Nothobranchius furzeri: one gene and its partners. The protein of the gene in region 2 purifies or fractionates together with the protein of the main gene of each other region. This does not show direct contact. Links are inferred from orthologs where the notes say so. Each region holds a gene or a part of one and is shown on either strand. Other genes may lie near its edges.

Region 1 (3,652 bases), on a different chromosome or scaffold from region 2:
TCATTTCCCTCTGTGACTCCGAGACTTTCTTTACCTCTCGCTTTTGAACAGACTCAGTCATTTATGGTTCTTCAAAAGTGTGATAACAAATCTATTCTGTGCTCTGTCCTTCTTTTGAGGATGGTTTGTTAGACTGTGTTGTCTTTTTGCCCTTCAGAAGTCAGGGGAGGAAGAGGAGATTCAGCTGAGGAAGTCCTCGGTAGATCTCTGCTCCGCCGGCGACAAGTTAGCCGAGGCTGAGCCTGCGAGAAAGGTCAGTAGTTGTTTCCTTTATTGTAAACATTCATGTGCCTTTCCATCACCCTCCTCCGCACACACACACACACACACACACACACACACACACACACAGGCCATCACACACAACAAAGTTCACCCCTTCTGCCCACCCTCCTTCACCCCACCGCAGCACACACAAGTTAACATGCAGAGAAGAAGCTCTTTATCTCGATTATCTTCTCTTCTGAGTCGTGCTCAGTGTCTCAGCTGATGCCTGATGGGTAATCCCTCACGCGCATCCCATCTATGCATGCATATATTAGCTTCATTAGATTATAGCTTCAAGAGATGGCACACATTCCCCTCTCCTCCTGCTGTTTGCTTTTATAATTGTGTGTGTGTGTGTGTGTGTGTGTGTGTGTGTGTGTGTGTGTGTGTGTGTGTGTGTGTGTGTGTGTGTGTGTGTGTGTGTGTGTGTGTGTGTGTGTGGTTCAGCTGCATTATAGTGATTCGTCTATTCAACCAGGAAGTTTATTAATAGATGAACACATTTTTCATCATAACGTTGTTTTTTTAATGTGATGTTTGTGTGTGTGTTTGGTTTTCTGCAGGGCAAACCGACTCCGCCCACTCTGGTGTTCAACCGTCTTTTCACAGACATCAAGGAGGAGCCAGGACACCCCACCCTGGTCCATCCCAGGTATTACACTCCACCTGTGTCCATTCATCTCCAACCAACGGTCAATCGAAGCAGGTTTTTTACAGTTTGTAGTAATGTGTTTTTCAAATGGCAGCAAATGAAGTGCTGCACAGACAGCCCAAAGGTTCAGTTGTGATCATTAAGATGTGATGGCTTTAGATACGATGGTGGCTAGCTTCTATGTGGTTGTCCGAGAGAAGATTAGAAGCTGCCATTGTAAACAACCCGGAACTTTGTTCACGTACAAGCCAGAAGCTGCACCTTTGGAAAAACATTGATCTGAGGTGGTTTTTCTACTCCTCTGTTAAGTTTCTGTTTGACTTTATTTTCATTTTCATCCTTTTTGTTTTTTCAAGATAATGCCGCCACTCTTCTGCTCTTTTTCCTGTGAGTCTTTCTTCCTCCTTCCTTTTTCTTTCCTTCCGGCTCTCATTTCCGTCCGCGGGTGGCACCACCATTTGTTTGAATATGGCTCAGTTTTAGCAAATCTTTAGCAATAATCTGCCCCAGATTAAAACCTGGAATTAGAGGGTTTATAGTGCTGTTACTACATGTGACCGGCCCTTGGCATGCTTTGTGAAGGCTTGCAGACATCAGACCAGACTAAATGGAGGAGGATTAACGCCGTGATCACCTGCCAGCATCTTGCTACTTCAAACCAGTCATTGTTTAAAATATAATAAAAGACCCTCAGATAACACTCAGTCATATTTAGTTTGCTGCAAACATCAAATCGATCTCATCTGGGTTGCTTGATGCTCCTGCAAACCTGCAGTCCGTCATTTTCGTCCACGTCAGAGGAAGACATGGTTGCTTTAGCGTTTCACGCAGAGGCCCACTGGGCTGTCAGGCTTAGCCTAGTTCACTGCTCAAGCCTCAGCGCTGTCTGGAGGGTCCTACTGACTGAACGGGGGAGGGGTCCAAAGCTAGAATAAACTGAACATGTTTTTTAATGGTTTCACTGCATCTCCAGGCAGTGCGTCTCTCCCAGTTGGACCACTACCTGGACATCAGTGATGAGCTGAAGGTCTGTTAAGAGTGAGATCCTGTCGACAGATCCTGTTTGTGCTCCCGACTTCAGATGTTGCTTTAAGTTAAAACTGATGCCAATCAAAGATTGTTCAGATACGTTCGTTGGACAGGGACATAAATCACCGATAGCCGTTCGATTAGAATACAGAGTACTAAAATCTTGTTAAACAAACCATTTCTAAGTGTCTCTTTCTCTCTGTGTGCTTCTTTGTGACAGCTACTACCTGTACACATACGATAAGATGGTGGCTCCCAACGTGTCGCTGAGGAGGGAGGCGGAGATGAGCCCGGAGATGCTCGGTGTGCTCCTCAAACATCACTACAGTCGCCGAATTCTGGGCCACGATGAGCCGCCCATGGGTCAGTAATGACACGCTCAACAACCATTAATTATAGGAGAGTAAAAAAAATCTGTCCAGTATAGAAAATGTGATTCCTAATGAGGATAAGTCTGAGAAGAATGATTTAATGTCACTTTCTTTGAAGGAAACTTGCTTATGCACCTTCTTGGTGGTCTAGTGGTAGAGTCCGCCCTGGGACTGGGAGATCGGAGTTCAAATCATACCTAAGATTTTAAAAATGCGACCCAATGCCTCCCTGCTTGACACTCAGCTTTAAGGGGTTGGTTTGAGGGGTTAAACCACCAAATAGTTCCCGAGGACAGCCGCTGCTGCAGCTCACCGCTCCCCCTGGGGAGCAGTTACACCAGTGTGTGATGATGACCAATGGAACTTGCTAAACTGGAAATTTTAAAATATTTAGTGTAAAAACTAGGCTATAAATAGTAAAAGGAAAGAATAATACAGAAAATTACCATAAATTTAAGAAAACCTGTAGAAAGATTTAGACAGTAAATAACACCAGAAATCAGGTAAAAGTCCAGTTTCATGTTCCTGTAATTAACTTTTACATGATTATTATTGCTGAGGAAATCTGATTTTACTTAATAACTTCTTTCTGAGCTTAAAAAATTTAGTAATTTATAATAATATCTATTAAACATTAGCAAATGTGCTTTAAAACTGCTGAGTCATCTGTGACCTTTAATATTTAGGTCGCTCTTTCCATCAGTAAACAAAGCCGTAAACACTGGGTATGAGTAATAAAGGCTTTAAACACACAACAACAAATCATTCCATGAAATTCAGATGAAATTATAAATATATACTGACATTTCCCAAATACTTACTCATTTACTTTTACCTGTAAATTATTCATCAGATATGTTTTGTCTGTTTGGACGACACATATATAAATATAATCTAAAATTCATTTTTTTGTTGTGTTTGACAAAAAAAAAAGCTTTTGTTTGAACAATTTTTTTTAATTCCTTATAAAATAGCGGGGAAAAAATAGATTTTTCCCCATTAAATCATTTCTAATTTGAGCTAGTGTGTGTGTGTGTGTGTGTGTGTGTGTGTGTGTGTGTGTGTGTGTGTGTGTGTGTGTGTGTGTGTGTGTGTGTGTATCAGACACAGTCTGACGCACATCTACTATAAATACTTGAAATCAATGCAGAAAGCAGCAGCTGTCTACATGCAGCATAAGCAGAAATGACTGACAGATCAAGTTCACACAACTCACTCAGAGTTGACACATGCTTACTGTAAACATACAGTACACACACACACACACACACACACACACACACACACACACACACACACACACACACACACACACACTTTGCAGCCTGAAGTG
Region 2 (3,652 bases):
AAGTATTAACTTTGAACTCCCAATTATCAGACTATGTTTTATAAGAAGCACGTGACATTCTTTAGTTGTTTTCTTGCCATCGTGAGAGGTCTTTCCATCTATTGACTGCTTCTTTTTTCCCATTTTTCCTAGATTTTATGAAATGTAGTGGAACGAAGTGAAGCGACTAACGTGAGTGTGCTTGGTGTTTGCCCTGCGAGGACAGACCTGCCACCATGAAGAGTGAGGTGCCATCTGAGGCCACTAGCAGACGGGATCACCTGAAGGAGCCACTGGTAAACCCAGAGTCCATGGAGGGAGCCAAGAACTTCCCTAACAACATGGAGGTCCTCGGAAAGGCAGGCAGTGATTTTGAAACCTTGTGTGAGTCCAGGCACCGGCCCTTGAGAGACACAGGGACCCACAGGGACTCAGAAAGGAGCCTGCCTGGACGTAGGAAAAGAAAAGGCCAGCAGGCCGGGCCGTCAGACTGCTCGCTAAAGGAGGACCACATCAATGAGGATCCACTGGCACCTCAGCGTGCCAGAATAGACCTTCTACAGCATCCCAGTGAGGATGAACATAACGAGTCCTCTTTTAGTGACTGTGCTTCCTCTCCATCATCTAGCCTTCGATTCGGGGACTCGGACACTCTGAGCTCAGATGATGAGGGAGAAGCTGGGGCATCAGTAGGCCAGCATAAGGCTCCTGCCCTTCCTACAGGGGGAGCCACTGAAGTTAGCCTGCGTCCTAGTTTGAGTCGAACTCGTGGTGGTCGCTCCCATAAGTGGGTGCGGCCCGAGGCAGAGCCCGTGTTGCTGAAGCGGCAGTGTTTGAGCAGTCGGCGGCCTCTGCAGAGGAAACGCTTTGTGAAAACAGCTCCAGGAGGAGGTCCGCGGACTCAAAAGCAGAAGGAGCGATTGCTGCTGCAGAGGAAGAAACGTGAAGTGATCGCAAGTAGGAAGTATGCCCTGCTCAACAGTAGTAGTAGTTCCAGTGAAGAGCTTAGCAGCGACTCATCCTCCCCGTCTTCCACTGAGGTGGAAGATGAGCTTTATGTAGATGTGAGCAGCACCAGCAGCCAGCCCAACAGTGCTACTGTAGCAACAGGTAACTACACAGGTTTATTATCTTCTGTCATGTGCATTCATTGTTGTTGTTTATGTTGTGTAAAAGAAGGTTTTTAAAATCAAGAAACAAGCATAAATCTCACAGAAATCACGGTCTTCCCCACTGCAGGAACAACACAGTCTAGCATCAGTTATCATATTTAATCTGAAACACATTAAGGCAGTATTGCATTCATATGCACTGAGACGGGGAAATGGTGACGACTAATGTTAGAGAATAGGTCAACATATTGTGCAGTGCACGGCGATGTTGATTAGTTATATAAAAAGGTTGTGACCGAGGTACTTTTATATATGAATTAACTCTTTTTTTTATTTCCCCTTACTGTCACTTACTGTATACATTTTATTTAGTTTTCCTTGTTGATTGAGGTCACAAACAACTTTGCTTCCTTGGTTCGTATCATGTAGTCCTACTCAACTCCCCCAGGTGAAGACCATCACACTTTTGGTTGTGTCAGCTCTGCTGTCTGACTCTGTTGTGTAGTAGTAATAAAAATACACGTTATGTCCGCTCACTTTCATGCAGCGGGGTAGTAGAGGACTATCCTAGGGTCATTAAAGTTTTGGTTTGTGCGTTGGATAAAAGGGTTATGAATGTTAGCTGAAAAGTTATAGCTGCACCCCTTGCTTTCAACAGCTGCCCTCTGGGTACCTATTGGAAAAGCAGGTTTGCACAGCTTTTCATTCCAAACCTGAATCTGAGCTCTCATTTTAAGCTCTAGATCAATAAAAGCTCCACCTTGACCTTGGCTCATTTATCTTTTCTGTAGCCTTTTAGCCCCTGTAGCATTTCCATTGCTATGGCCCAAGGGAGAAATGGAAAGTTATTTGTTGTCACCGTGTGGTAAGAGGCGGGTGGGAGAAAACTCTGCTGAGCAGCCGCCTTGGCACAAAAACACTGGGTCTCAGAGGAGAATATGGTATTTGTTTACTGCTGAGAAGCAAGTGATGAAACCTGCCTTCTAGATGTCCAGTACCTCAATGGGTGTGTCACACGTTCCCAAAAGCATCTAAATTATTGCAAAGTTGTAAAACAACCAAAATAACACCTACAAATCGTATGGCTTTAGTGTAAAATATGCAAAGGTAATTGTTTTGATTTGAATTAATCTTCAAAATTGGCTAAAGAGGTAAACATTGTGACATTTGCTCACAGTTGGGCGATGCTATCAGGAATACAACATGTCCTTTTATGTGAAAACAACTAATCAACAGGCTGCCTGCAGGGACCACGTTTTACATTGTAGTCTGTTCTGTTGCTAAAGTTAAGAATATTAGTGTTATGTGTTGTGTGACACACGCACGCCGCGCGCACACACACACACACACACACACACACACACACACACACACACACACTGGCTGCACCTCTTAACCAGCTTAACAGGAGGTGTTGTTAGTGTTGGTGCATGGAGGGGCAAGAAGCTAGATCTGCAGAGGGTGCTAAGCAGCAGCTCTCATGAGAGAGTCACCAAGGGGAAGCATGAACTTCACGAACAAACCATTTTGTGATGTGCACAATGACAGAGTATGCTTGAAAAGTGCACTTAAACTTAGCTAGGATGCAACGTAAGCTGCATTTTTAGTTTTTGTTAATTTTGAATAAATATTTCATATTGGGCTTTATTTTATAATGAAGTTAAAGACGTGTTTCCTTATTGTCACCAGATTAGTACTGTTCACAAATATAACAGCTTTCTCACAATGTAGGATGACAGTGGCATAGTGGACGATCACAGTAACATGCCTACGAGTTAGAGATGCTTGACTCATGCATCCTGTGCATGAGTCAGCAAGTCACACTTACACTGAGATTGTGACAATAATAAGAAACAGACACGCAGCTGTAAAAAAACAAAACAACTAAGACTTATAATGGCTGCGACTATGCTGCCTGGGTGTGCACCCAGGAGGGGGTTGCATGGAAGTTGATTTATGTAACTAGCATGTGTGGATAAGTCTGGGAAAAGACAACATTTGTCTTTTCAGTTTATGGCTTCTGTCCTGTTTTTAAAATAGATAAGATTTATTAAATGCCTGCAGGGATCACGTGTACGTGAAAATGTAGTGTTTAGACAAAACTATAGTTTGATATGAAAGCATTTATTTAGGTAATAACTTTTAACTCTAACTAAAATAAACTCTATAATAGGGCTGCACAATATATCGAAAAATTATCATCATCGCAATAACAGGACGTGCGATAAGCCCATCGCAAAACACTGCAAAAACAGCGATAAATGTTTGGTTCAAACATTTCCATCTGTGTCATACATCAGCTTTTTGTAAACCAGCTCTGTTTTTTACTCGGAAGTATTATTTGACCAATCAAATGTAGTCCTTCTGATATGCGGCCAATCAGATGGGTCCGTTCACGTAATACGCCCGCCCCCTACATAGACCCTTTTGGAACGCAACACCCGAAGAGTTTGCTGCGCCGCTCCCTTGTTCGTCATGCTGGCTCAGAGCAACGAACGCACTTTGTGCTGATGTTTCTGGAATCAGCGCTGCTTTCAAATGTGAACGTGACTCCGCTCGGT
Region 3 (3,752 bases), on a different chromosome or scaffold from region 2:
CCAGCCGGAGGAGGCCCCTGAAAGCAGAGGTCCTTTGGGTGTGCCCACTCCCGCCTGAATGGAAGTGTGTGCCAGCGGTGGGCATTCACGCAGGACTTTGGCATTGGTCTGGATTACAAGAGGTTGTCCCGATTTTCCCTTTCTTCCCGAGATTCCTCTGAAAGCAGCCTGAGAGGAGGAGGAGTGCTTGTAAACAGTTTGCTGTTGCTTTCTGAGCTCCACCAACAGGGCTGCCTCCAGGAAAGAGCTGCGGTTTCAATCCGATGGTCAGACGGGAGGAAGGGACCGGTGGGGGTGGTGGGTGGTCCCGTGTTAGCTGAATGACCCTTTTGTTGGGATCATATTATGTTTCCACCACAATACTCCTAAACCCCGCTTCATCCGCTCCACCGATGTGTAACAGTTCATGCAAATGGGCTTTTGCTGTGAGGGGTGGGCCTGGCTCCAGAAACTCCTCCTCACACCTCCACGGCTCCAAACACACACACAACAGCCAGTCTGCCAGGAAAAATGAAGGATTCAAGTGTTGGAAGTTTTACGTCTCAGCGGCCGAACCAGGAACACGCCAAGCAGCCGCGTTCAAACACGTTGGTGCAAAAACGTCGGGTCTAAAAACGCAGAAAAAGCTTAAACCGCACAGGAAGTCAGACTGGAGACGGCCACGGGGACCTTTATCACACCACACACACACACACACACACACACACACACACACACACACACACACACACACACACACACACACACACACACACACACACACACTTGTATTTACTGTACAAGCCAATAAAACGACACCAGAGGGTAAATAATGGCTTTATAGCCACCAGAGGCTGGATGAGACTCAATTAGCAGCAATATGGTGATGGAGGGGTTGGGGTGATGATGCGGGCTCACACACACACACACACACACTGGTTAACTGAGTCAGAGCTAACCAGGACCCACACAGAAAAGGGTTCTCCTCCTCCAGAACCAGATGAGGAGGTCGGACTCACCCTGGATGAAGCTTTCCTCTTGTACTTGTTGGTGAAGTCGAACTTCTCCTTGATGTCGTCCAGGAGCTGCTCCAGGCGGACCTTCTCCTCTTTCCCTGTGTAATCCTGACCCAGGAGGATGTACGCCCTCCAGTTGGCAGAGTCGAAGCCCCAGTGGCACGTCCGGTTCTCCTGCGCCTTGTGGCTGTGCACCACGAACTTGTGGGTCGGGTACATGAGTCTGCAGTCCATGCACTGGATGCAGGCTGCGTTGGGGCTGGAGTACAGCTCCGGCACCAGCAAGCCCTTGCACTTGCCGAAGCACTCGTGGTAGACCTTGAAGCTCCTGTCGGTGAGCTGCAGCTCCAAGGACCCGGAGCCTAGCTCCTTCTTGCAGCGCGGCGGGTAGGCGCCTCCGTAGATCAGGGCGTTGCACAGCCGCTCGGCGTCCGTCTTGGTGATGAGGCCGCAGGACGGCGCCGAGAAGGGCAGGATCCCCATGACTTTGAGGATCTCCAGCTGGTCCGCCGTGCATCGGGAGCAGTAGATGTGCAGCTCGTCGCACACGGAGTTGATCTGCTGCAGGGTGAAGTCCCGCAGCACCGTGTTGAGGATCTGCGGCAGGCACAGCCGCTTCTCCCCGCCGACCACGAAGCAGGAGATGGTCTCCGCCTCCAGGACCGTCTCACACCTCTCCGTGGAGCGGTCCGACGGGATGAAGAGCGGACCGGGCATCACGGGCTGCGGCAGATGCTGCAGGACCGGTTCGGGCTCCTTCCCGTCCTTCTTGAAGAGGAGCTCATGTTGCCACCGGGCCGAGAACGCCGCCGGTCCGCCCAGAGAGCTCATGGAGCTGAGGTGGAACTGCTTCAGAGTTTGCTGCAGTCCCGGATGAGGCTGGAAGCTCTGCCGACTTACAGTCTCCATGTTTTTCCTACAACTTTGGAAGCGAAAATCCTTCTTCTGGCTGGCCGGGAGTCGCGAGGGTCGATCCGTTTCTCGAGCTGGTAAATCCGCGGTGTCCCAGAGCTGCGTGGAGCTGCTGAAGCTTCATCCAACATGAATCCGAGCGCAGCGCTCTAGACACCAGTCCTCTCCGCGCCAGCCCTACGGAGCGCACACCGGCCAGAGGGTCGCAGCCCGTCCATGTCCGACAGGAGTCCGAACTCCACAGGGCGCAAAGTTCCGGTGGAAACTTCCAGAAGCGGGACACGAGAGGCAAACCCGCGCGAGCACAGATCCCGAATTCAGGTTGGTTCTGCTGTCGAGGACCGCAGAGATCAGGTCCGCCTGCCCCCGCACTTCCCTCTGACTGGAGATGCTGCTGGCGCGCGCTGCCTCCTCCCCTCTGCCTCGCGCCCTCCCCCCTCCCTCCCCCTGTGTTTGTGTGTCTAGCTCAGTCATTGAATCCCGGCCAGGAATGTGAGTGACTCTGCGGGCAGGCCGACCGGGCTCTTCCAGGAACAAGCCGTCACCCCCTCCAGCGAAACACGCGCGCGCGCACACGCGCGCACCCCACGCGCACACACCCAGGGGCGCCTCCAGAAAATTTAGATAGGGGGGCCAGATGGCCCAAAAAGTTTTGGGGTGGCAAACCAAACTGGTGTTAGTGGAAACTCTGGGAGAGTTCAGCCGGTGGCGACGTGTTACACTTTTATTCATTTTTATTAAAAAGCTCTACGTCTCCAAAACATTTAACTTCAGTTTTACAAACATTTCAGAAAAATACTTTTCAGTTATTCAAAATGTATTTAAAATTTATTGTTTTAGGTTCATTCACCTGTTGCTGTGTTCACAAAAACAACACCTACAGAGGTAAAAACTTTTTATAATGTTGAGCAGCGGAAACATGAATTTCTTTTTTATTCTGATTATTTATTTACTCATTAATTGTATAATTTTTATTTTGTTTTACAATTATGTCTAGAATAAAGATCAATATGTGGTTTGACTGAATATTCAAACCGCAGCAACTTTTCTAGGGGGGGCGCACATGCCGCAGACACACACACACGCACACCCCCACAGACACGCACGCGCGCACACGCACACAGCGTACAAGTGCCAGGGGAACACTAATGCTGCATTCACAGATCTAATGATGGTTTTTTTAATCTAGTTTTTTTAAATGTGTTTCTGACTTTTTAGAAATCAGTTCACCAGCTAGCTCTGTGGACAGGCTAAGCTAAAGGCTAACCCGCGTGCTGCTAAAGTGTAACATGTCTAAAACTGTTTAAATATCAGGAGTTTGTGTTATTTAAGTACAGAAGCCATTACGCTTCCACAAATTCCCACATTATACCATTTATGACATTTTTTACAAACACAGGCCGAGGCCCAGTCCCAGTACTCGCCCTGTGCTCTTCAGCAGAGTGCACGTGGAGGAAGTGTGCTGTAAGGCTGCATGGTGCACAAGTGTGCTAATAACTGCAGAGTAGAGACAGCGAGCATCGTGTCATCGATTGCAACGCATGCGGGGATGCTGGTCGCTGTGAAACTAAAAAAACCTTCACTAACAACTTTCACACAGTTATTTAAATAATTTTACATCCATGCGGACTGAAGTGGGTGAAGTGCGGATCAAGGGCACAAAAGGGGCGTGATCAATCAGTAAACTCTACGCACTCGCACCCCTGGTCGGGATCACCCAGCTGAAGGGAGCAAGGGTGGAAGAGCCAGTTTTGAGAGCGGGCCTAAAATGAGTAGCAGTGTCAACAGGTAGCACTTCCTGTGCATCCTCGGCGTTGCATCTGGCTGGAAATTCTTCGTCCACGT

What was found.
Region 1: the proteins of rnf111 (region 2) and skila purify together in Homo sapiens (affinity purification with western blotting; 3 studies listed by BioGRID). This does not show direct contact. The link is inferred for Nothobranchius furzeri from reciprocal best matches to the Homo sapiens genes RNF111 and SKIL.
Region 3: the proteins of rnf111 (region 2) and skia purify together in Homo sapiens (affinity purification with western blotting, with the first as the bait; 3 studies listed by BioGRID). This does not show direct contact. The link is inferred for Nothobranchius furzeri from reciprocal best matches to the Homo sapiens genes RNF111 and SKI.

The regions. Positions count from the first base shown.
Region 1 is NC_091751.1:45,646,428-45,650,079, forward strand, and holds part of skila (ski-like protein), read left to right. Parts: intron 1-157; coding exon 158-253; intron 254-830; coding exon 831-919; intron 920-2,168; coding exon 2,169-2,311; intron 2,312-3,652. UniProt on the Homo sapiens protein: May have regulatory role in cell division or differentiation in response to extracellular signals.
Region 2 is NC_091749.1:59,532,100-59,535,751, reverse strand, and holds part of rnf111 (E3 ubiquitin-protein ligase Arkadia), read left to right. Parts: intron 1-132; 5' UTR 133-215; coding exon 216-1,089; intron 1,090-3,652. UniProt on the Homo sapiens protein: E3 ubiquitin-protein ligase. Required for mesoderm patterning during embryonic development. Acts as an enhancer of the transcriptional responses of the SMAD2/SMAD3 effectors, which are activated downstream of BMP.
Region 3 is NC_091755.1:44,987,284-44,991,035, reverse strand, and holds the start of skia (v-ski avian sarcoma viral oncogene homolog a), read right to left. Parts: upstream 2,283-3,752; 5' UTR 1,905-2,282; coding exon 999-1,904; intron 1-998. UniProt on the Homo sapiens protein: May play a role in terminal differentiation of skeletal muscle cells but not in the determination of cells to the myogenic lineage. Functions as a repressor of TGF-beta signaling.